2 linked regions of the Lonchura striata genome follow. The protein of the gene in region 2 interacts with the protein of the main gene of each other region in a pairwise test. Links are inferred from orthologs where the notes say so. Each region holds a gene or a part of one and is shown on either strand. Other genes may lie near its edges.

Region 1 (7,336 bases), about 14 Mb from region 2:
TTATTCTTAATTCCTATTTTATCTCAGGTAATTTTAACAACTGTCCTGTTTCACTTAACTGCTTTGTGATGTCCCAAACCACAATTTAAAACTTGTAACACAATACTTGCTAAAATATTATGCCTCCTTTTTCATACCTTTGTTTAATCTAACAGTGCAAACAGGCAGTCCATTTTTTAATTTCATATTCCATAATGAAAAGTCCTCAGCATAAATCCTGATAATCTCAGGTTGAGCCTTACTGCATTTCCTCATTTGAGTACAATAAAATAAACCAGATTTTTGGAACAATAAACTCTAACTCTGAGGATGGCTACTAGTAAAAAAGAACTTAATCTTGTTAAAGCTTTTTCAACAGCATTAACAGCTCCATGGATTTAGAGCCTACCTCCTTTGCGTCCTGACTGCATCATCATTCTACGCCGCACTGTATCGAAAGGATAGGAGACAACGCCAGCCACAGCCGTCACTGTCTGGGCGATCATCCAGCTGATAACAATGTGAGTGTTTCTGGGATCTGGGAGCATGCCTGCAGTGAAACAAAAATGGCAATTAGTTTTTTACCTTGCACATCCTCCTCTAGTGCACTCTCTGCATGACAGTTATTTTACTAGATAAACTAGTATGAAACACTGTAAACCCATAGTCTAAATAAAATTGCAGCATAACATTTCACAAACTTTAAACATACTGAAGCTGTATTTGGAAGACTTTCTTCTCAGTAATCACAGTTTAAGTATTTTAAGCACAAGCATTCTTTTTAGACTGGCATGAGAAGACTTGACTATTCACTACACTTTTATTAAAAATACATCACTTAAAGTCACTGTCCCTGTGGATAACATTACACTACAAACTAGCACTAATGGCTTATTTCCCCAGATGTCAAGCTTAAAAATTACTTTGCAGAAGGCACTGCTCAGTCCCATTCTGCTTAACACACTTGAACTGGTCCAACGTAACTTCAGTATGCACTGAACAAAAAATAAATTATTCTTATTCTGTCTGGTCACCAACATACTCTCCTGGCCTTAGTAGCAACTGCTTGAAGTACAAAACCAGTACTTGCAGGTAGGCTGCTCCCATTAATACATGTACAAGTTTTCCTTTGTATACAGCAGTGTCAGGGATGTGGCACTGATATCCCCCTTCACTTTCACATATCCAAAAACAGAGAATGCAATTCTAAAAACAGGTTTTTCAGATCCCCTCTGAAATATTACCTTTTGCTGTATCATAGATCCCAAAGTAGGCAGCTCTATAGATGATGATGCCTTGCACAGAGACATTGAACCCTTGGTACAAGCCACGCACACCATCAGACTTGGTGATTTTGACTAGACAGTCCCCGAGACCAGAGAATTCTCTGTCTGCACCAGCTTTTCCAACATCAGCAGCCAAACGGGTTCTTGCAAAATCCAAGGGGTAGACAAAGCAGAGGGAAGTGGCTCCAGCTGCACCACCAGATGCCAGGTTACCAGCAAAATACCTCCAGAACTGAGTGTGCTTGTCTACACCTCCCAGAAACACCTGCTTATACTTATCCTTGAAGGCAAAATTAAGAGCTTGAGTTGGGAAGTATCTGATGACATTTGCCAAGTTTCCTCGCCAAAAAGACAGCACTCCTTGTTCCTTTGGAATACGCACTACACAATCGATGATGCCCTTGTACTGCTTATCAGCAGCAATCTGTTTGCTTGCATGTTGCACCTGCAAGTAAAAATACAAATATTGATCACTTGCCTTTACAGGTCTATGCTGCAGCTGGGCTTAAACCTGCTTTTACTATAAAACAAAGTTGCTAATTCTGAATGGCCATTGTTGGTATTACAAAGAAGAAGACTAAAAATTGCTTTCAAGCTTTTCCAGAAATCAGAATTTGGCAAAACAAGAACAGAAAACTGTGAGCAATTCCTCTACTACCTGAAGGGAGACTGTAGCAAGGTGGGGGCCAGCCTCTCCTCCCAGGCAACTAGTGACATGACAAAAGAACACAGCCTCAAGCTGTACCAAGGAAGGTTTAGGGGGAAGCAGGGGAGGAATTTCTTCAGATAAGAAGTGTTTAGACTTTGGAACGGAATGCCTAGGGACTAGTGAAGCAACCATCCCTGGAAGTGCTTAAGACTGGATGAGGCACTTAGCGCCACAGTCTACTTTAAATTAGACTACGTGGCATTAGGTTGGGCTTCATGATCTCTCTGAGGTCTTTACCAAACTGATTCGGTGAAGTACAAGGGCAAGTATAAGACAAATACACCACGACAAATACGCCGGGCATACGTAGAGCTGAGAGCCTTTACTGACGAAGCCGGGCCTGGGGAGGGAGTCTCCCGAGAGCCGCGTTAGGGCGGCAGAGGTGCCCGCGGGGCCGGGGGAGCGCGGCGAAGGTCACTCGAGTCACCTTGGGGCGCCGCGGGTCACGCCGGGCCGCGCGCGCCGGCCGCGCCCCGGCCCCGCCCCGCCCGCCGCCCAATCGCGGCCCGGGCGCGCGTCACGTGGAGGCCGCCAAGATGGCGGCGGAGAGCGGCCGCCCTCCCCTCCCTGCCGTGCCCCGGGCGCCGGGAGCGGGGGCGGCAGGAAGTGACACCATCGGCGGCCGCCCCCCTCGGCCCGGCCCTCCCTCCGCTCTCCGCCCCGCATGGCGGGACCGGCTTCGGCTTCCCCGCGGCCGCTCACGTGACCCTTCCGCCAGCCGCCGCCGCCTCGCTCGCGCCCTTTGTCCGGCGCTGGCCGCGGCCCCCGCCCGGCCCGGCGCCCACGGGGGCAGCGACGGGCGCCGCCCGCGCCGCCCTCTCTCGCCCGCACCGCTGACCTGGAGCAAGAGCTTGACCCGCTCGATGGGCGCCACCGCCGTCTTGCTGATGGCGGCGGCGACGCCGCCCGCCAGAAAGTCCTTGAGGAAGGAGATGGCCTGGTCCGCCATGTTCGCGCCGCGCCGGAGCCGCCGGGAAGGAAGCGCTGCTGCCGCTCAAGCCGAAAGGGCGGGAGCGGCCCCGCGCATGGGCTTAATGCCGGCCGCGCCGGCCACGCCCCGCCGCCCCATTGGCCAGCCGCACGGGGGGTGGGACGCGGCCCGCCCGCGGCCCGGCCTCGCGCTCCGCCCCGCTGCGGCGCCAGTGTCGCAGCGCCGCGTCACCCGCCGCGGCCCGCCCGCTGCCCGCGCCATTGGCCCCGCCGCGGCCGCCGGCCCGAGCGCTCTCCGCCATCGCCGCTGCCGGTAGCGCCCGCCCAGCCTGCACAGCCCAGCGGGCCCCCGTACCGCCCGGCACGCAGGCTCTGCAGAGCGATCGATGGGCGCTAACTGTATGAGGTTCATTCAACAGGACCAAATGCCAAATGCACTTGGGTGACGACAACGCCGTGCAGGGCTACAGACTGGTGGCAGACTGGCTAGGAAACTGCCCTGCGTAAAAGGGACGCTGGGTGCTGGTGGCAGCATTGTTAAATGAGCCAGCTGGTGCCCAGGAAAGTCAATGGCATCCTGGCTAAGAGGACCAGGGCAGTAATCCTGCCCCTGCACTCGGCACTGGTGAAGCCACTCCTCGAGTACTGTGCCCAGTTCTGGGCCCTTTAGTCCAGGAAAGACATTGAAGTGTTGGAGTGGATGCAGATAAGGAGAATGAAGCTGGTGAAGCACAAGTCCCGTGAGAAGTGACTAAGGGAGCTGGGGCTGGTTAGCCTGGAGAAAAGGAGGCTCATGGGTGACCTTACCGCTCTCTAGAACCACCAAAAGGAGGCTGTAGCCAGGTGGGGGTCGGCCTCTTTTCCCACGCAGCCAGCGACAGGACAGCTAGCTGCCTGGAAAACAGCCTCGAGCCTTACATGGGGAGGGTTGGGTTGAACGTTAGGAGGAATTTTTTCACAGAAAGGGTGATGAGACATTAGAATGGACTGTCCAGGGAAGTGGTCTTGTGAAAGTCCCTTGGTGTATCTAAGCAAAGATGTGGCACTTGGTGCCATGATCTGCTGATGTGGTTTTGGGTCAGGGATTGTACTTAATGGTCTGAGATTTCTTTTCCTACATAACTGATTCTGTGATTCTGATTCTGTGAAGCTGAGTGTGAGCTGCTGGAGCACTGGCTTTGGGGTGTGGGTCTGTGGGCCCAAGCAGTAGTCAATGAGCAGCACATTCACAAGCTAGTGAACTAGCAGGCTCTGCAGCAATTGCTCGAAGCCCGTCTAGAAGGAAGACACAGCTTTCTGCATGGGCTCCCTGTGGGGCAGCAGCAGCTCTCGGGTGGAGGGGAGCAGATTTCAGGCACTGTCAGTTTTGCTCCATTCTACCTTCTGGGTAATGCTAATCCATGGCATATCCTTATTCCCAAGTTCTGTTCCCACCTCCTCCTTAGTACTGCCAGTGCCAAGGGTCACATCATGGGGCTTTTCTGTATATCACTGAACTGATCCAAGACAACGGAATACCAAAGGACTTAGCTGCAGTTTCCTGTGGGACCATAGGACAGGGTGGTTCCAACTTCTTGTATGGGCACTTGAAGTTAGATGTTGTGAAAACCTCCTCTGCAGGCTGTCAGAGCAAGCACTCCTGGCAGGCACTCAGGCCCTACCAAGACAGGTGTGGTTTCTATCAGTGACTTTGCTAATTTTACTGTATGCTGAAATTGATATTTTGAACTTGTCAAACTTCTGTCTGAAGTTATACCTATTCTTTCTAAAATGTGTTGAAATTGTTCTAGCTGGAGGGCATTAGTACACATCACCTGCTTTCACTTTTAGTGGGTGTTTCCAACCAAAGTAAATAAGGCCAAACCTTTTTTTTAAACAGGCGACTGGTGAACCACAAAGCTGCAGTAGCTGAGATGCCAGAAACCACTGCTTACACATATATGTAATTTGCAGGATTTCAAAATGAGAGCATGTCTCTCAAGAGAGCATGTTGTGAGAAGAAAAAGTGCCAGGCATAGTCTTTGTCTCTGCTCTAGTACAAGATATGTCACTATACTTTTTTTTTTTGCATACCAGAAGATCAAAAGTAAACTGTGCTCTTCTGAAGCATAATAGACTGAAGTGACTCCTGTGCTCACAGAGGGTTTTGCACATAGGGTGTTAGAAGACCATATTCTAAACATAATTTTATGAAATGCTGTGGTACATTCATTCAGGGAGGCACACATAGTTATGGGCTTTTTTTTAAAAAAAAGCCCATAACTGAATGTTAATACTCTCTTAGGACAATACTTTGTCTGCAAGACTTGAGATATTGTTCACCATAAAATTTTCTATTGATTTAAAAAGAACTTCACATTCTAAGACTCTTGAGTATCATCAGTGTGAAAAATGAAGGTAAAAGACACATAACTTGTAATGGGGAACTTGTTCAGTCTGTAATTGTCATGTTCTGTTCAGCTTGGGAGCTCAAAATTAAGTAGAGCTAAAACGGTGTGGGATGATGTTCCTGAAACAAACTCTGTGCCCTCACATTTAATCTCAAATTACAATCACAGGGAAAACTTGTGCTTTTTATATAACTGCCTTTTTTTGGAAGCCTCTCTCAAAGCAGAGCAGTCCATCTTGACTCTCTCAGGAAGCTGCTGCTCCAGTTCTTGTTTCCAATCTTACACCATTGCAGTAGCAGTTTCCAGAGTTGATTAGAGTATGTTTATTTACAGTAGAGGGTATAATATAAAATGATACTAAAATGGATGGTGATGTAGCATTAAAATGATACCAACATTAACCTCCTAGAACAGGGGCAAAGCAATGTGCGCTGGTCTAAAAACTCTACTATTCTACTTGCACCAACTATGAAGAAACAGTGATTTCTCGCAGTGTGAATACTGCCCTTAGGCTGATGACACCATTTGTGTCCTACACATGTTGTGCAGCCACAGAATCTCCTGGCATCATTCTACTGAAGTCTAAAATAAATGTAATCAATCTTTCCCCCTTTTGAGAAGTAACACCAAAAAGCTGACATTTCTCGTTACATTTCTTGTTTATGGTATTGATGGGAAGTTGAGAATGTATTTGGATAATTACAAAACATCAAACATAAGACATCCAGACTACTGCTTAATACGTTTTTTCTAGGTCTTAACACAGAGAATGGCATCTAACAAATTTCCTGTTATTCTGATTCTGATATCTGTGAATCCATGTTGTTCCAGCAAAGCTTGATATTCAGAGCCACTTCTCTCCTTTCCTTCTGTCTGCACAAGCATGTTGAAAGACTGCAGCAGAGCTGTGCTCCTGTTCTTCTTTTCATTATCCAACACCATTTCAACCAGCAAAATTGCACAGCCTAGTTTAAAAACAAATGCATGCAACAGTTCTAATCCATTATCAGGCAAGACAATTTCTGCTGCCATATAGAGGGGTGCAAACTACAAGACCTGGGTGATTTCCTTTATCATTTATAGATTTGCTCTGCTATTAAATCCACTAATCAATGAATAATCCACTCCTCTCACAAACCCCAGGAAATTCCCTTTCACAGTATGGAGTGATGAAACACTCACAAGTCAAATCACGTCTCTGTTTTCAGAGGAAAAAGGGGATAACTTCTGTAGACTTGGCATGATGACTATAGAAAACAGTAAGACAGGAATAGAGTTGCATTTCTTTGAGATATACTGCTGTTTCACATTCATGTTGAAATGCCAAGCAGAGAGAAGAGTGGATGGCAAGCATTACAGAAGCAAAGGAGAAGTCAATGTTTCTGTTCAATACATTCTGTATACATTCTGTATGTTATTTCTGTAGGACCTAAAATTCTTTGTGGTGGGACTGACCTAAGGATGAAAATAGAACTTAAATCATCTGATTTACAGACCCTTCTTCTCCATATTCAGACTTGTGAGGGGAAAGGGATGTGAAGAGAAGGCTACTGACAAAAGCATTGCGATACGTACTTGCCTTTTGGCCTTACACCACCTCAGATGAAAATAGCAGCAGTTCAGAGTGATTTTATTAGGAAGCGCAGTGTAACATTCATACCTTTCTGCACTTTAATACAATCTCCTCAGAGCCATTCCAATTTGTACAGCTCAGACATTCGATAATAATCAAAAAGTTTTAAAACTTAACCCCTCCTCATTCTTCATGTTAGGAAATCTTTCCTTAGTTATGCATATTGCTTAGAATCTTTTCAGTGTTAAGACTACTAAATCCACTCCTTCTACCAGTCAGCAAAAGATATTCAGAGCAACTGAAAAACTTAATTTGTATATTAGTAAAATGAGCTTATAATTCCTCAGGTGACTGGCTGCATCACATGATTGTAGAACACCTGAGTCTGAAACAGACCACAGGAGCTCTCTAGTTCAGCCTCCCACTCATAGCAGGGCAGCTCTGCAATCAGCTCAGCTTCTTTAGGACT
Region 2 (7,073 bases):
CAGCATTTGTTGAACTCTGGAGATCTTTCTGGTCACCTTAGATGAAGCACTGAATCTTATCCTCTTTCCAGTTCTCCACTGGAAAACCCAGAATAGCAAGATGATACCATATAATAGCAAAGGGCAGAACAACAACCAAATCAGGTTTCCAGAGAATTCAGCATCAAATGTATACCCAGCAACAGAAAACAACAGCATTCCCAAGTTCACAAGGATGCTTCTTATATTAGGATAGTGCCAAAGCTGTACAAAAATCCATCTGAATTATTTTCCTAAAGAAAAACTATTTCATCAGTTTTGAGTCTGCAGTAAAAAAAGTTCAGGGAAGAACAAACCACCATACACTGAAGTTTTGCTCTCCTTTGCTACTTTCTTTCCAATTTCTGCTGCTTATGACTTCTTTGACAAAACTGACTGCAGCAGGTTTGGTAATAGTTGCATTTAAACAAGGTCAGTATAATTATAAATAACTTCTGATAAAATGCAGTACTTGTCAAGTGAAAGCATTTGCTAAATCAGCTGGCTCAATAGTCTTTTTAGTAAGCCTCAGCATCTGGACAGGGGAGGAGGAGGAGCAGAGATCCTCTTGCACTGCTTGCTGCTGGCATTTCAGCAAATATCTTCACCCAGATATCCATTATTATGCCTAGATCTTTTCTTCTATAGAGCCTTCAATCAAATGTTAAACCAACTACTGTGTATGAGTCTCTATTGTATTGTATTATTTAACTTTTTCTGCCATTGTGTGACTTTCCAGAGAGTGCATATGTAAGTGGAGTTGGCTGTAACTCTGTCCTACACTGACTTCTGGTACTTCCTGAATGAATTTCAGAAACAGAGAACACACACTGCAAGATGAAAATCTTTGTTCTCCTAACTTAGGAGAGAGGACTGATTCTCACTGGTTACCAGGTTGCCAGCACAGCCTCTAATGTGCTTTACAGCTGCACTTCTGCTGTTAGCTCACCTCTCCTATCTTCCTAAATAGCTAATATTGCTTACTATAACATAAATGTATTTTACATAAAAATACACACTCCAGAAAGTAAGGCTATGAGTTTAAAGTTGCTTTCCTACTTGTTACAGTTGCTATCACTAAAACAAAATGTACCACGATAGAAAATGCTACCATAGAGAAAAACTATTTATCTGACCGAACCCTACACTTGCCATTTGTTAGATCAATAGCCTAATATCCACCTCTGTCCTTAAAGTGACAAATATACAGAGAAACACAGTACCATATTAAAAGCTACTGCAAATAAACCACATGGACACAGCCCTACAAACATTTTCCTCTCTCTGTGTCCCATCCGATCATCCCTCCCCTCCCCCCACCCCCCCGTTCCCAGGTAGCAATTTCCAAACTCACAGTGTAGCGCTGAAAGAATTGCTTACAGAATCCCCCTTCTGTACCTTAAAATAGAGCTGATTCTCCAGAAATTAAGGCGAGGCTAGGCACCATGGAATGAGACATTAACCCTCATTTGCACACACGCAGCTCTCTCCTACCGCTCTCCGGCAGCACAGGCTGCGCTGCTCTCCACAACAGATTGCATAAATAGGAGACAAGTAGCTGGGTATATTTAATTGCATTGGAAACAGGCAGACCTAGTAAAGGGTTTATGTAGCATGGGATACAGAAAAGCCTACAACCCTGCTTGAAATTGGGGATGAGAAACAATAAAACCCACAAACACTGCACTGGATGTAGGGAGCATAAAACAATCCCTGAATGAAATCACACACGAACCAAAACAAAGCATTTACACGAACCAAAACAAAGCATTTATGCATCACATTACATCCAGCTCATCGGCTGCCAAGTGCCTCCTTAATGCAGTCATCCGTTGCAAAGTTAACCTGCATGCAAACACTTGACATGCAAATGATTTTGCTACCGATGCTTTATAAGCAAATATTTCTAATGCTTGACCCGCAGAGAGGTGTTTATATTTTTTTACCTTTGCAGTTTTTAATGCAACTATAAATGTCAAGGCTTATTCTTTTCATGTTTAGTGCAATGTTAGGGATCATTGGCTCCCTAACACAGGTACCTGTACGGGCTGGTGCGACGGCACACAAGCCTCCTCTGCACTGTTACCTTCGGGAGGCAGCGATGGGGACCGGGGAGAAAGAAGCAGGGGCAAAGATAGAGAAGGGGATAAAGCAAAGAGGGAAAGGGTACCCGTACTCATTTAAACAGAGTTGGAAACGACCGATCTAGATGAACAGCTCTTCAAGCAGAGGCATTTTACTTGAGTAGGAAGACCTGAATTCGCTGCCCTATCTTCCCACGTTTAGCTTTCCCTCCTTAGGAAAACGCTGCTTTTTATTCGTAGTAGCTACTTTACCTTCCATCATTTTTCGGAAAAATATTGTGATGCTGTTATATGCCACGCACGAGGCTGAGAGTAATAGCAGCATTTCAGCCCTGCGCTCCCGTGGGCTGCCGGCATTGCCCTGAGCCCTCCGCTGGCCCGTGCCGAAGGCTCGGCCGTGCCCCGGGGTCCCCAGCCCTCCCGGGACCCTGCTTCCCTCGGCACTGTCGCCCCGCTGGCACGCTGCTGGCGTGCAGCCGGCAATTGCGATCCGCGCACGGAGAGCGAAGCCCGCTCGAGCCAGTCCGGCTATTGGCATCCCTAGAACTTTTGTCTGAACAGATTTCATCACAAATATTATCCACCCTGATAAGCAAGCTGCGCTTGCTCCCCCATCTCCTGCCCGCACCAGGGGTACAGGAGCAGCCACCAGCCCCGCCGCGCCCCGTCCGCGCAGGAGCTATCCCCATCTCCCGGAGCTTTTGCCCATGTCCCGTTCCCGGCGCCCCGGGGGCGGTGAGCACGGAGCAACCGCAGCCCCGGGGCGATGCGGGGCAGGGAGGGGCGCACACCCACGAGGCGGGAGCGGAGCCGGCGCTGCCCGCGGGACGCGCGGCGCTCACCCGCCTCGGTGCTCCTGCCCCGGTGCCGCCGCCGCTGCCGCGCCGCCGCTGCCGCGCCGGGCGGACGGCGCGGGCCCGGCACGGGCCCGGCTTTTATAGCGGCCAACGCCGCCCCGCAGCGCCCCCTGCGGGCCCGCCCGCGCCCCGCGCCCCGCGCCCCGCGCTCCGCCCGCGCCCGCGGAGACGCGCCGGCAGCGCGGCGCACCGCGCACAGACAGCGCCCGCCGGCGCGGCTGTGGGGCGCGCCTGTGGCTCCCCAGATGTTTTTTATTTCCCAGGTTAGCGCCCTGGAAGCACGTAGGTGGTTGTTATTAGGTTTCCGAATGGGATGTTTGATTTTTGGGGTTTTTTTGGGGGGGAGGTGGGGGAAGAAGGGAAATGTTTAGGGTCAGCGTCTGTGTAATAGTGCCTCTGATGGCATCAGGAAGAAAAGGGACTTGCTCGTGGTATGGCTTTTCTGCTCCTTGCTTGCCTGCCCTCCAGTGCTCCTTGGCTCCGAGTTCATTTCTCTTTCACCCTACAATGAGCAAGAGAATAGAAAAACGAATAAATAAATACTCGACTAGAGACACAATTTTGCTTTTCAACAAAACTTGTAACTCGGAGGGTAATCTCCATCACTTTTACTATGCTTAAACTGCAGCCCGAGGGTTTTACTCCCGTAGCAAAGAGAGCTCTGTGGTACCGGCAGGGAATCTTTATTGTGCGTTTACAGCCTTATCTGCACCTACAGCCCGTGCTACAGCTCTCTCTATGGGCATTGTTACATTCCCGGTGAGCTAGCGCTTATTGTTTCAATCAGCTGTTAAAATCGGCAAGCAGGCACGAGATCAGATGGGAGTTTTATCATCTGTGTCTAATGCTGGGCAACTCAATTAATTTTTATGAAGTCCTCTGGGCAAATGCATGAGGATCTGTTCAGGAGGGGGTGATGAAGGGATTCCTGGTTTGCGAGGCCAGCCAGATGATACACAGCATCCTCCTGTCTGGGAGCCCCTGCAGTGATGCCTGGAGACACCGGGAGAATAACCAGGAGCTTACACAGAGCTATGAGACAGAGAGAGCCTAGGAGTCTAGGGAGACATGGAAAGAAATGTCCATTATCTACATAACAGTGCCAGCCTGGCCCTTTGGCAGATGGGATTCAGTACAGTATTGAGGAAAGTCTTCCTTTTCTCAGGGCCTGCCTGGTCAGGCTGGTGTTACAGGCTCACACGGCAGGACAGTCAGTGTCACAGGATATATCCTTATTTCCCAGGCACACAATAACTTTCTTATTTCTGCCTGTGCTCAAACACACTGTGCTTGCATCTGTCTGCAATCTGAAGTGCCAAGTACAATCCCTGTGGCACCATAACGTTGTCTTTTATCCTTAAAGGACCTTCCTTTAAGGTTTGTCTTCCTGCTGAATAAAGCTGTGTTCTTCCCCCACACCACGCTGGACTAAATGCTACGCTTCAGTTACAAAGACAATGAAGATAAAGGATCTTAGCTGGTAAAGTCACTGAGAGCATCTCTCTTGCTGGCACAAAGGAGGACAAACCCTGACAAACCAGGCACTGGCTAGTTTATCTGTAGTGGTTTAGGACATGAACCCTCCTGCCTCCCAGCAAAGCAGGCGGGACAGGAGACATGGCTGCATGGCTGCACCTCAGCTCAAAATTCAGAATATGATTTATGTTCAAGCCCTGAGCTTATGTATGGCTAAAATAAGGAGAGGGGATTCTGAAGAAGTGATTGAAGCCATCCTGTACCTCAGCCACTGATTTTTAGGAAACAGCAGTGCCATTTGTCTTGTCCAAAGGCATTACCATGAAGCCACTGATGACAGGGAATTAGCAGGCTTTCACTGCCTTCTTTTACATCAGTATTTGAAAGGATCCACTGGCTCTATTAAAACAGGGACAATAACAGAGAAAGTCCAAATTAACTCAAAATATTTATCAGTCTGAAAAGATCTATTATATGGAAAAAAACCCAGATACTTGCCAGTTTCAATTTCTTCCCTCAATCATTTTTGCAAACAATCATTGCTCCCCTCTTTTGACTTCTGATCATGGAACTATTGCACTCTAAAAGATAACTCATGCTGTTATCACACCTAATTAAAAGCTACTTAGCTGTAGAATGTAGGCCTCGCTTTATTTTTAGATTTTGTGCAGAACTGAAATTATCTGCTCTAGACAATTCACATAAACTTGTTTTTCTTCAACATTTGGAAGAGAGTTCTCTAGCCTATAGAAAGATTTCTTATGCAGCTCCAACAAGCAGAAGGCATAACAAAAGAATAGCTGTTTATGCTGCAAAGAGTAAAAGAAAATGATGAGAAACTGAAGGGCGGATGGCTTTTATAAATTCAGGCAGAGCAGTTTCAAGCTGAACCCACTTTGTCAATGTGTTTAGGAACAAGCTGCTGCAGCTACAGAGAGGTGGCAGAACAGCCTCACACATAGAGCTGGAAATAGAAGGCAGAGAGGAGGCCCCGGCCCAGGGCAGGGACAGCCTGCCTTGGAGCACACCAGACAGGACATGATGGAACTGGGGAATGGCATAACCACACTCCTTGGCCATGGCTCACCTGGCAAGCGCCCCAGGCCTTCCCTCCCTGTCGTTGAGAGCATGGATGGTTGGCACACTGGAGGCACCTTTTGCTGCACATCCAGGCTTCATCCCTGGTGTTTAAACAAGCACCAGGAAACCTCAGTGGCTCTGATTGTACTGACAGACATCCAGGGAACCAGCTGGATTGGTGATCATCCGTGCTGATTAATTTTAAGTGCGCTGCAAGGCCAATGCCATGTAGCCTGAGCACAGCCTATGGGTGCCATACAGGAGGGATTGTCCCCAGCAAGCAGCAGAGTTGGGACTGCAGTGCTTCCCATTTCCTTCACCCTACACAGTCTGCCAGCTCTGTCACAGGAGGTTTTTCAGCCATAAACTTCATTTATCACCCAACGTCATACAATCCATAGCCTATTTCATGCAATAAAACACCATTCCTGTGGGCTGCTGCACAGCTTTATATGTGCTCAGGCAGCATAGGTTTGGAAGAAAAAAAAAAAAAAAGGAAACATCTCTGCATTAATACCAATGTCTTGGGGCCACAGGGGCACCAGATGGGAGTCTAGGATCAAGCAATGTGCAACATGGATATAGCCAGTCTGTGCCCGTGGCAGCACTTACTGATAAATACAAAGCTAGGGATGCCAGAAAGCTGCACAAGGCTCATTTCTCTCCAGAAATAAGCAAGAGACGCAATCAGTGTTCAGCTTTACAGATTATCTGGGAATGATCAAAGTCAGGGGAAAAAATAGCCTCTCCTCCTATGCTCAGATAAAGCTGCAAAAGCTGCAACATCATATTAAAGGCTATTAGCTCCAGAAGATTTTTTTAAGGGTTTTTGTACCACAGAGGATGCAGCTTGGGTCTGGATGATGAAGGGTCCACAGAGAAGCCCCTGGGCTGCAAGCACTGCTGAGGGCACAGGAGAAGGCACTGGAGCTGCAGCCTGGGGGCACAGATAGGCAGTTCCCTGGTGCCCAGCTCTGACTGGGTAAGATGCATAAACTACTGTCTCCTAGGGGAACTTTTCCTTAACCTTCCAGGTCTACCCTGCACACAGTTTATGAGCAAAATTGCAATTGAAAGTGTGATTTTTATATATCTTTTTGGGTTGTGGTTTTTTGTTGTTGTTGTTGTTTTTAATTTGTTTCAGGATTTTGGTTTTGGTTTTATTTTTGTTTCTGTTTTTTAATTTAGGTAATTGCTGTAGTCATAGCAGCTATTTTTATTTAAATGCCATCTTAAACTTCAGTTACACCGGGTAAAACTCTAGTGCTGATACACTTGTCCCAGTATGAGGCTATCTGATACTAACTTAGGTATCTTCTTGTCTTGAATAGCTATAACAACACAGACACTTTTCCATTAACACAAGTGGTGACTGGGTCACTTAAACTGTTATCAGTGTAGGTAAAGTGGGACAACTCTTGTGTCCCAGTAAACACTGAGAAGCTGGCTCTGTCTATGCTGCTCTTCTCATCAGACTGGCTTGACACAGCCTCCCAAAGAAACATGTACTGTGAAGATGTAGGGGAGCTCTATGTAAATTACACCTAAACCAATTCTC

Evidence for each region. The genes of interacting proteins can lie anywhere in the genome.
Region 1: the proteins of MTUS2 (region 2) and SLC25A6 interact in binary tests that used the Homo sapiens proteins (3 or more experiments, as listed by UniProt). The two-hybrid records come from large-scale screens. The link is inferred for Lonchura striata from reciprocal best matches to the Homo sapiens genes MTUS2 and SLC25A6.

Annotation. Positions count from the first base shown.
Region 1 is NC_134604.1:83,189,546-83,196,881, reverse strand, and holds the start of SLC25A6 (ADP/ATP translocase 3), read right to left. Parts: upstream 3,023-7,336; 5' UTR 2,924-3,022; coding exon 2,813-2,923; intron 1,711-2,812; coding exon 1,224-1,710; intron 530-1,223; coding exon 389-529; intron 1-388. UniProt on the Homo sapiens protein: ADP:ATP antiporter that mediates import of ADP into the mitochondrial matrix for ATP synthesis, and export of ATP out to fuel the cell.
Region 2 is NC_134604.1:68,699,023-68,706,095, forward strand, and holds the start of MTUS2 (microtubule-associated tumor suppressor candidate 2), read right to left. Parts: upstream 3,014-7,073; 5' UTR 2,945-3,013; intron 1-2,944. UniProt on the Homo sapiens protein: Binds microtubules. Together with MAPRE1 may target the microtubule depolymerase KIF2C to the plus-end of microtubules. May regulate the dynamics of microtubules at their growing distal tip.